Linked DNA regions of Saccharomyces cerevisiae S288C. The protein of the gene in region 2 purifies or fractionates together with the protein of the main gene of each other region. This does not show direct contact. Each region holds a gene or a part of one and is shown on either strand. Other genes may lie near its edges.

Region 1 (4,906 bases), on a different chromosome or scaffold from region 2:
GGGATAGAGACATAAATAGACATCTATACACGTAGTGAGTAACAACGGATACTACTACACATACAGAAAAAATGGACTACAACATATTTGAGGCGGTACATGAACAACAAAGCAGCACATCTGACATGGATCTCTCAGAAGAAGATAATAATCCATTCGTCGGCACTCATCACCTATATGCTTCTGGAATTGGGACTACTATCGGCGAAGCTCGCCCAGAGAACGAAAATTCGCCCCCTTCTTCATCGTCTTTGCCATCTAGCCCGGCACATTCCTCTTCTGCTGGCTCTTCCAGAGCATCTACGTCATCTTCAACCTCTTCTCATGCCGTAGTGGAAGCAGATGCGGAAACTGAACCTTTTGTTTCCTTGTCGATGTCTACTACTGCTACTATTAGCAAATTTACTCCCCACGATATGAATGGGACACAGCAGATCCAAATCATTGATGCCGGCGATTTCAAAGATCCATGGGGGAAACACGCTATCGGTTACGTAATTCTATATGAAAACAACAAGATTATCAGAAGGTACTCTGAATTTCATTCTTTGAGGCAATCTCTAACTAGACTCCTTCCTACGATAATTATTCCACCCATTCCATCCAAGCATTCTCTTCTCAAATACATATGGAGTCCCATAAACGCAGCAAATGATTCCAAAATTATCTCCACCAGGAAGAAAATGCTCAATTCATTCTTGTCTAACTGTCTGAACATTCAAGAAATAAGCAACGATATTGTTTTTCAAAAATTTCTAAACCCTGAATTTAATTGGAAAGATGTTTTAAGTTCGTCGCCGATAATCATACTACCTTTGAATAACCTTTTAGCTCCACCTTTAAGCCCAACAAAACCAAGCCCCCTTCATTCTATTTTACCTATTCCATCCAACTCGTCTCTGAGAAACTATAATTCGATTTGGCAACAACACATCACAGTAAAAAGTCATAATGAAATTTCCAACCTCCCAACAGAAATTTTACAAAACGAATCTCAATTTACACATATTGAAAATTTATTCCAAAATTATAAGCGAATAATCACCCATTTATTAAAAAACATAAGATCAAATAAATCTCATTTCCACTCCTTGTCCACGTATTTTGCTGAATTAGGCGCATATTATAATGCTTTTAGTTTGGAAAATGACATAACCATGCCCAACAGCCTTCGCGAATCTGAAAACAATTCAAACAACCCAATGATGGAAATTATTAGTCATATTGAAAAGACAGGCCATTCATTCGATGTTATATACATTTCTTCCGAGATCTTAATAGAAAAGTACACCTCTATTCTTGAGGACCCCATTAATGAGTTATTGCAGTTCTTAAATGAGTCATTCAAAGTTCTAAATTTCAAGAAATTAAAGTTTTTGCAATTTAAAATATTAGAGAGGCTAATTATCGAAAAAGAAACGAAACTTTCGAGTCTCACTGAGATTGAAAACCAACTGCAGAAGATTAATGAAAGTTTAACGCGGTCGACTATATTGACAGATGAAAATTACAAAGATACAAAGGCTGCTGACCTGACATTTGTTAAAAAGGACGTAAGATCGCTATCGAAGTCAAGTTCAAATTCAAGCTCCAGTGGACACCAAAACGAAATTCATATAGGCGCAAGTAAACTAAACTATAAAACGTCTACGCCAACAATGAATCTCAATAAATTAGAAATCAAACAATTGACTGAACAAGAAAGATCTAAACAGATCAAACAGTTGAACCAAGATTTATCCAAATTGAAAGATTGTCTATCAATCTGTATATCAGACATGCTAGAAATTAACAATTCGTCATACAACAGCTTAATGCATACATATAACCATATTAATTTGACCATTGGAAAGATCTTGAAACTTTTCGCAGCTAGCTTCAAAGCATGGATCAAAGAATGTCTGAAGAATTGGAAACTGGCAAAGTTACAAATCGACGAGGCCCTATAAAAAGCATTACCGTCACGCATCGTGTTGCAAATAGCATATACATATATATATATATATATATACATATAACGTATACGTTAGAAAAATTTGAATACACACATTCATTTATCCTATTATTATCATTTTCATTCTTACCCGCTCCCCGCTTTCATCCGGTGGCAAAAGTAAGAACAAATAAAAGCTAGACCTAGATTGAAGAAACTATTAAGTACCAAAAAGCAAACAGTGGGCACACGCGAGGAAACCACATTATATTTCGCAAGATGTTTAATAATCATGAAATTGACACCATATTAAGCACTCTCCGCATGGAGGCAGATCCCTCTTTGCATCCTTTATTCGAACAATTTGAGAAATTTTATGAAGAGAAATTGTGGTTCCAATTGTCCGAATCCTTGACTAAATTTTTTGATGATGCTAAATCTACACCATTGAGGCTCAGATTATATGATAACTTCGTTTCTAAATTTTATGATAAAATCAACCAATTGTCAGTAGTAAAGTATCTACTTGCCTCTTTGAAGGATTCTAAGGATTTCGATGAGTCTTTAAAATATTTGGATGATTTGAAGGCTCAATTTCAAGAATTGGACTCTAAAAAACAAAGAAATAATGGATCAAAAGACCATGGTGATGGTATTTTGTTGATAGATAGCGAAATTGCTAGAACTTACCTGTTAAAGAACGACCTCGTTAAGGCAAGAGATTTATTAGATGATTTGGAAAAGACATTGGATAAAAAGGATTCCATTCCATTAAGGATAACAAACAGCTTCTATTCTACAAATTCCCAGTATTTTAAATTTAAAAATGATTTCAATTCTTTCTACTACACAAGTCTATTATACCTTTCTACCTTAGAACCATCTACAAGCATTACTTTAGCCGAACGTCAACAATTGGCCTATGATTTGAGTATCTCAGCATTGTTAGGTGACAAAATCTATAATTTTGGCGAACTATTACACCATCCAATAATGGAAACTATAGTCAACGATTCCAATTACGATTGGCTTTTCCAATTATTAAATGCTCTAACCGTTGGTGATTTTGATAAATTCGACTCATTGATAAAAGTTCAAATATCAAAGATTCCTATATTGGCTCAACATGAATCATTTTTACGACAAAAAATTTGCCTAATGACATTAATTGAAACAGTTTTTGTCAAAAATATTAGGATGCTTTCATTTGAAGATATTTCAAAGGCTACACACCTACCAAAGGATAATGTCGAACACCTGGTCATGAGAGCCATAAGTTTGGGTCTATTAAAGGGTTCTATTGACCAAGTAAATGAACTCGTTACCATCTCCTGGGTCCAACCAAGAATCATAAGTGGTGACCAAATTACAAAGATGAAGGACAGACTGGTTGAATGGAACGATCAAGTAGAAAAACTGGGCAAAAAAATGGAAGCTCGTGGCCAATCCATCTGGGTTTAGGCCATTGGCAGTTATATATAAAACACACACGCACACATATATATAAATGCAGAAATAAAATCAACTATCAACAAATATTGTCAAAAATATACTTCGCAACTTTACCATTCTTATAAACATCATTATGCAAACCCAAATCGTCCAAATACAACTTGAAACTTAACTGATAATCCTGAAGACAAGAAATTAAACAATTAGTTTGTCTTAACGTTAATAACTCGTCGCTATAAGAATGCACTAGGTGCATATCAATACTGAAGCGAGAAAGGGCTTTCTTCACGTAAGGCATTACTCTCGAGGGCTCTTCCTCGTACATTTGAATACCATCAGGGAAGGCAAGTCTTGTAAAACAATCATACTCTGGGTATTCTACCAACAGTTCCTTTAACGAGTATATACCATCCAATAGAAATACTCTCTTCACGATCTGCAAAAGTCCCAACATTTGCAATTGCGCTTCACTCATTTTTTCTTGAGGATCTTTGAGTGCAGCTAATATCTGCCAAATAAAGGTAGCTCCAACGGAATGTCCCACCATATTAATGTTCGTTAATCCCTTTTCTTTAACAAGCCTTGTTATATTTGACACAGCATCATATAAGTTTCTTGGATTTGTGATCTCTGGTGATAACCTGTATTCTATAGAGTATTGACAAACCGTTGACTCAGTATCCATTGATTTGATGGTATTGGCTAATTGATTAAAATCATTGGGCGTATTCTCAGGATCGTTCCATGCACCTCCATGAATGTATATGACAGCCTCTCTAGTGTTTTGTGAGATTTCTTGGAATGTCAATGTCTTGTTGAATAGTGTTATATCTGGTGAAATGGCTCTTACGGTATTTGACATATTCACGACAGCCTCTGAGCTTTTCCTTGCTTTGATTTTTTAGCTTGAATGGATTGCAACTTGTTGTAATCTTACAATCGTTAAAAATTTTACCATGCCGTGCGTGCTTTATAGAATATTGAACAATATTCTTTTAGGTATAGATTGATTAGTTTACATACTTTCTTTCTTAATATCTACAATTTTTATATGAGAAGAGTAACATTAGAAAACAAGTGCAGAGCATATTCTGTGCATCTATTCCTTAACCTTAGGTTTGGACCATTCAACACGTAAAATTAAATTCATATAACCCCTACCATCCAAGAAACGTAAAGCTTGTTCGGCAACTTCTTCGCTCGAAAAGGTAACAAAGGCGAGACCTCTTGATTTACCTGTTTCTTTGTTTCTAACGACAGAAACTCTTGGAATGGGTGCGAATGGGAACAATAACTCTTCTCTCAAACTATTTTCATCGGCATTTTCATTAACTTGCATAATCTTCAAAGTACACATATCATCACGTTCTCTAGAGTCTCTGTAAGCATCGGATGAAGGATCTCTTGCACCAGCACGACGAGAAGGTGGAACATACTGCCCTGGGATGGAACCAGCTCCGCCAACTTGGCCTGCCTTCTCTTCACTGGCGGCCTCGACACCGCCTTCATTAGTGGCTGGGT
Region 2 (5,988 bases):
AGTTTGTATCTTGAGTGAATTTCAAATAATTTTCGTTACTCAGTGAGACTTTTAAGTGAGAAAACAGTTTCTTAGCCAAGAGTTCAGGGTCATTACAGAGACCATCATCCCCAGAAAATGAAGCTCGACGTAATACCCAAGGATGTAACTTTAAAGCCTTCAATGTCACCCTCTTATTTGGGTCAGGTTGTAAAATTTTTCGGAGTAGGTTCAAGTGAGTAAATTCTATCTTTGACCAGGGTCCCCAGTTTAAATTTCCATCATTTTCAATAAAAAAGACGAAATCTTCGTTCTCTAATGAAGGTAATTCCCAAGGCGTTTGACCAGTCAACAATACGAACAAGAGGATGCCAATAGACCATATATCTGTTCGATCTGCGTAATAACCCTCTTCAGAATATAATACTTCAGGAGCCATGTAGGGTGGAGAACCCCTTTGATCCATGGATACACGTAATGTACCATCTTTCCTCCTAAATTGAGAGGCGAGCCCAAAATCAGCTAGCTTCAGATTTCCGTTCTTATCGAGTAAGATGTTTTCAGGCTTGATGTCTCTGTGAGCAACTCCACATTCTACATGCAGATAATTAATAGCACTAACGAGCTGTTGAAAGTAAAATTGGGCCACGTCGGAATCAACTCCAACGTCAGGCTCAATCTTATCAAATAGATCACCACCATCTGCCATCTCCAGAATTATCCACATATATTCTTTAGAGACATTACAATCGATAAGTCTCAAAACATTAGGATGCTTAGAACACTTCGATTGCAAAACAACCTCTTTTGTGATATCCTTGTCACTGAGTCCCATTTTTTTGCAAGTGGGAACATGAATGAATTTAACAGCTAGAATAATGGAGGGATCCATTTGAAGATGAGCATTTTTAACGCAGGCGAATGCGCCTTGGCCTACTGTATCTCCTAAAACAACATCCTTGATATGGGGTAAAGGTGACACCTGCGAGAGACTCATAGTAATACGTGCTGCCCATATACAGCAACTTATGATATACTCTTATGTTTGAAGCTGTAGTTGTTTTTATTTGCCATTCAATTATTAAAATGACATTTAAAGCCGCTCTTTATTAACTTCGGCAGGCCTCGTAGTAATGTTGAAAATTTAAAAGGGAGCTGGGTTGAGGTTGAAAGCACTTACAAAGAAGCAAGGATAGCTAAACCAAACAGCCGTAACCAAATGTTAGAAGCACTGTTTAGAGATTCTGTGGAAGAAGCAATAAACGATTCCATCAAGGAAGGCGTTGTGCTGGCCGTTTACAACACTGCACGGGATGACCAGTGGCTGAAAAGTTGGTTTAAAGGAGATGATGTCTCATTAGATACTTTAGCGGAACATAGTATTTGGTTGAGGTTGGTCAAAGACACTGAGCAGTTCCAGTTATTTGAGCAAGTATTTCCTAATGTAGTTGTACCCAGTATATACTTGATACGTGCTGGAAAGATAGAATTGATTATTCAAGGCGAGGATGACCGACATTGGGAGAAGTTGCTGGCGTGCATAGGCATCAAAGACAAAAAGGCTGGTGAGAGTTCGTCCAGGGAAACCAATCCAGGTTTGGCTAGAGAAGAAAAGTCATCCAGAGACGTCCATAGGAAAAATGCAAGAGAACGGATTGCTGAGACTACCTTAGAGATCCAACGTCGTGAACAACTGAAACAAAGAAAGCTGGCTGAGGAGGAAAGAGAAAGAATTATAAGACTTGTTAGGGCAGACCGTGCAGAAAGAAAAGCTCTTGATGAAACTCATCACAGAACCCTTGATGATGATAAGCCATTGGATGTTCATGATTACATAAAAGACGCACAAAAACTGCACAGCAGCAAATGCGTCTTGCAAATCAGGATGACTGATGGCAAGACTCTAAAACATGAGTTCAACTCGTCTGAAACATTAAATGACGTTAGAAAATGGGTGGACGTCAACAGGACAGATGGAGACTGCCCGTACTCATTCCACAGGGGCATTCCCAGAGTGACATTTAAGGATTCTGATGAATTGAAGACGCTAGAGACACTAGAACTAACTCCAAGGTCTGCATTATTACTTAAACCACTAGAAACTCAAAACTCGGGGCTATCTGTGACTGGGATGGAGGGACCAAGCCTTTTGGGCCGTCTTTATAAGGGATTCTCTACGTGGTGGCACAACGATAAAGATCCTGAAGTAACATCACAACGTGAGGAAACATCGAAGCCGAATCGTCACGAAGTGAGGTCTTCAACACCTTTATCTGGAGCTGCTTCGTCAAGCTGTTTCCAATACAACAATGTTCGGGAACCAGTTCAATCATCTGCTCATGCATCACCAATGCTGACACCTAGCGGAACCAGGTACCCATCGGAAACCAACCTTACTACGTCACGTTCTGTCTCGCCAAATGTTTTCCAATTTGTTAACAACGATCATCAAGAAGATCCTGAAGACCCAACAACCTTTAATGGTAATAATGTCCATTTAGAAAAGAAAAAGGACGAAGATAAAAAATAAGTAGTTAATGGCTTCAACTCCATTTATGACTAGTATTAGACGTGAATTTTTTTTGATTAGATTACATAAAAAAATATACAGTAATTTTATTTACATGGATTTTTGTTATAGCTGGTATTTTTATATCTTTTTTTCTGTTTCAAATGCATATAGAAAAATTGAAGAGTAAGTTTATATAAACACCTTAATTACGGGATTAAAAATAAAACAAGTTTACAACTATAATCACCGCAAAAGAACTCAGCGAAACAGGAGCAATGAGTGAGAAAGAAACAAATTACGTGGAAAATCTCCTTACGCAATTAGAAAATGAACTTAATGAAGATAACTTGCCTGAAGATATCAACACACTATTAAGGAAATGTTCTTTGAATCTTGTGACTGTTGTCTCCCTTCCAGATATGGATGTTAAACCACTACTGGCTACGATCAAGCGTTTTCTGACGTCTAACGTATCCTATGATTCATTGAATTACGATTACCTTTTGGACGTTGTGGACAAGCTTGTTCCCATGGCTGATTTTGACGATGTTCTAGAAGTTTATAGCGCGGAGGACTTAGTGAAGGCCCTTAGGTCAGAAATAGATCCATTAAAAGTAGCAGCATGTAGAGTCATTGAGAATTCGCAGCCAAAGGGTTTATTCGCGACCAGTAATATCATCGATATTCTATTGGATATTCTATTTGATGAGAAAGTGGAGAATGATAAGCTCATTACAGCAATCGAAAAAGCGTTGGAAAGGTTGAGTACAGATGAATTGATTAGGCGTCGATTATTTGATAATAATTTGCCATACCTGGTGAGCGTAAAGGGTAGAATGGAAACGGTTTCTTTTGTCAGATTAATTGACTTCTTGACTATTGAGTTTCAATTCATCAGCGGTCCTGAGTTCAAGGATATCATATTTTGCTTTACTAAAGAAGAGATACTGAAATCCGTTGAAGATATCCTCGTTTTCATCGAATTGGTTAATTATTATACTAAGTTTTTGCTGGAAATACGAAATCAAGATAAATACTGGGCTTTAAGACATGTAAAAAAAATACTGCCAGTATTTGCTCAACTTTTTGAAGACACGGAGAACTATCCTGATGTCAGGGCCTTTTCTACAAATTGTCTTTTACAGTTATTCGCAGAGGTGTCACGAATTGAGGAAGATGAATATTCTTTATTCAAGACTATGGACAAAGATTCTTTAAAAATTGGGTCCGAAGCAAAATTAATAACCGAGTGGTTGGAATTAATTAATCCGCAGTACTTGGTAAAATATCATAAAGATGTGGTCGAAAACTATTTTCACGTCAGTGGCTACAGCATTGGAATGTTGAGAAATCTTTCAGCAGATGAAGAATGTTTCAATGCTATAAGAAACAAGTTTAGTGCTGAGATTGTCTTAAGACTACCGTACTTAGAACAAATGCAAGTAGTAGAAACCTTGACGAGATACGAATACACTTCAAAATTTCTGCTCAATGAGATGCCAAAGGTGATGGGCAGCTTGATAGGTGATGGGAGCGCAGGTGCTATTATAGATCTTGAGACTGTGCATTATAGGAATTCTGCCTTGAGAAATTTACTGGACAAAGGTGAAGAAAAGTTAAGTGTATGGTATGAACCTTTATTGCGAGAATACTCCAAAGCAGTTAACGGAAAAAATTATTCCACAGGCAGTGAAACTAAGATTGCAGATTGCAGATGATTATGTTGCATAAGCGCAACTATAAAGGCGGCCTTGATTGTTTAATGTACTACCAGTATTGATTCCTGTCTGAATCAAAAACTAACCTTTTGGCGAGGTGGCCCATTCAGTTTTCTTCTCCATAAATTGTATAAATCAGTATGTAAGGTCTGGCAAGTACTTATAATTCACATTTCAATGTCTATGTAGCATGCATGATTTTTATTATAAAGAAAAACTATTCGCCTAAGCGCGTTCGTTTCTTTCCCACTAATTGCGAACGATTTGCCTATATAAATACTTAACGGCACCCCAATCATCCACACCCTCTGAATGCCGTTCTTCAACTACTTTTAAATCACTCTCTTTTAGTAATAATTTCAAAACCTCTCGTTCTTTGGCGTATTTTGCCCTTAAAGGTATTTCTAGGTGACAGGTCCCTGATGCCGCCAAAAACTTCGATATCATGTTAACTACCCATTCCGGATGCTGAGGCGAATATATCGGGTCGGCGATCAATATGACGTCAAATTCATTTTCATGTCCAAATTTATCTATAAAATCGTGAGGATTAGTCCAATCTAATATCTCTGCTTGAACGAAATCTCCTAAATTATTTAATGACACATTTTTCTTCAAATTCGTCACAATCTCGGGTAAATCCGTCACGAAGATTTCTATATTTTCAGTTCCATAAAGTTCTTTCCATTTTAAGGCCCATGAAAGTCCTACTAAACCAGTGCCCGCTCCTAATTCTAATACTTTAATCTGTTTGATGTCGCTGTTCGCTAACATGTTCACATTAGTGGTATGTAGGTAATCCAGGTGATCTACGACTAATTGTGAAAGTATTAAAGATGATCCCCATGTTTTCCAACCAAGATTATCGGCCGTTAAAGAGGGTTCATGAAGCGGTATGGAAGTGCTTAGATTTCTTAATTCAAAATATCTTACTATGGATGGTTGGGCCGTTCTCCCACAGTTTTCGGATATCCTTGAGCTCAATTCCTTAAGAAGTTCTTGTATGATTTCCTCATTCAATCCGCAACTATTATTGTATTTTTTCAATACACTAGTATAGTAGCCCAACAGTAGTTCTTTGGATACTGTAAATCTCAGCATTGGGATTTTATTGCATATCTTTTCCAACGAGTTTAACCTCTTGTTAGGCCATTCTTCTGTATACCAAGTCAAAAGTCTTTTCAGCAGATCGGGTTCCAGCCCATGACTCTTGCAAACCTCCAGTACAGATTTGTTCTTCCCTGTCTCCTGATTGAAGTTTACTTGTCTATCGGGCTTCAGAAGTATTAGTATACAAAGGATAACTTCTGGCGGAGCATACTTCACGGAGGGCAGATCCAGATTATCGATAATGGTGTCATCGTCGTCACTCTCTTCTTCATCTACAGCCGTTAATATTTCGTCACGTTGCGGTGAGCAAGGATCTTTTGGCTCTCTCTCTGCTAGATTGAACTGTAAAGCCTCAACCTGGATGTCATCAGGGGTGTACAAATCGAGAGGATCAAACATAGTGAAATATCCGCTATGGAACTCCTAACTTGCATGAGTTAGATACTTGAAAAGTAATATACAGATTGCACTACTATTATTTTGTAGCTCATCGCGAAATTGAAGAAAAAATTTACGATTGGAAAAAAAAAAACTACTATCAGAAATAGGTGAACCAATTTTAATGCCTGGATAGAGCTGCATACGCTACTAGCTTAAACCAATATTGGTGTCGCCTGTTTTCCTTTACCCAATCCAATATACCACTATACTGCGAATGAAGGTGTTGAA

The links. The genes of interacting proteins can lie anywhere in the genome.
Region 1: the proteins of HSM3 (region 2) and RPN9 purify together in Saccharomyces cerevisiae (affinity purification with western blotting; 6 studies listed by BioGRID, with this or other methods). This does not show direct contact.

Annotation. Positions count from the first base shown.
Region 1 is NC_001136.10:1,319,993-1,324,898, forward strand, and holds RPN9 (proteasome regulatory particle lid subunit RPN9), read left to right. Parts: upstream 1-2,212; coding exon 2,213-3,394; downstream 3,395-4,906. Other genes in the region: SNX41 (Snx41p), read left to right, coding at 72-1,949; BNA7 (arylformamidase), read right to left, coding at 3,462-4,247; TIF35 (translation initiation factor eIF3 core subunit g), read right to left, coding at 4,485-4,906. UniProt on the Saccharomyces cerevisiae protein: Acts as a regulatory subunit of the 26S proteasome which is involved in the ATP-dependent degradation of ubiquitinated proteins.
Region 2 is NC_001134.8:744,582-750,569, reverse strand, and holds HSM3 (Hsm3p), read left to right. Parts: upstream 1-2,766; coding exon 2,767-4,209; downstream 4,210-5,988. Other genes in the region: serine/threonine protein kinase CHK1, read right to left, coding at 1-976; UBX7 (Ubx7p), read left to right, coding at 1,199-2,509; EFM2 (S-adenosylmethionine-dependent methyltransferase), read right to left, coding at 4,459-5,718. UniProt on the Saccharomyces cerevisiae protein: Involved in DNA mismatch repair in slow-growing cells. Acts as a chaperone during the assembly of the 26S proteasome, specifically of the base subcomplex of the 19S regulatory complex (RC).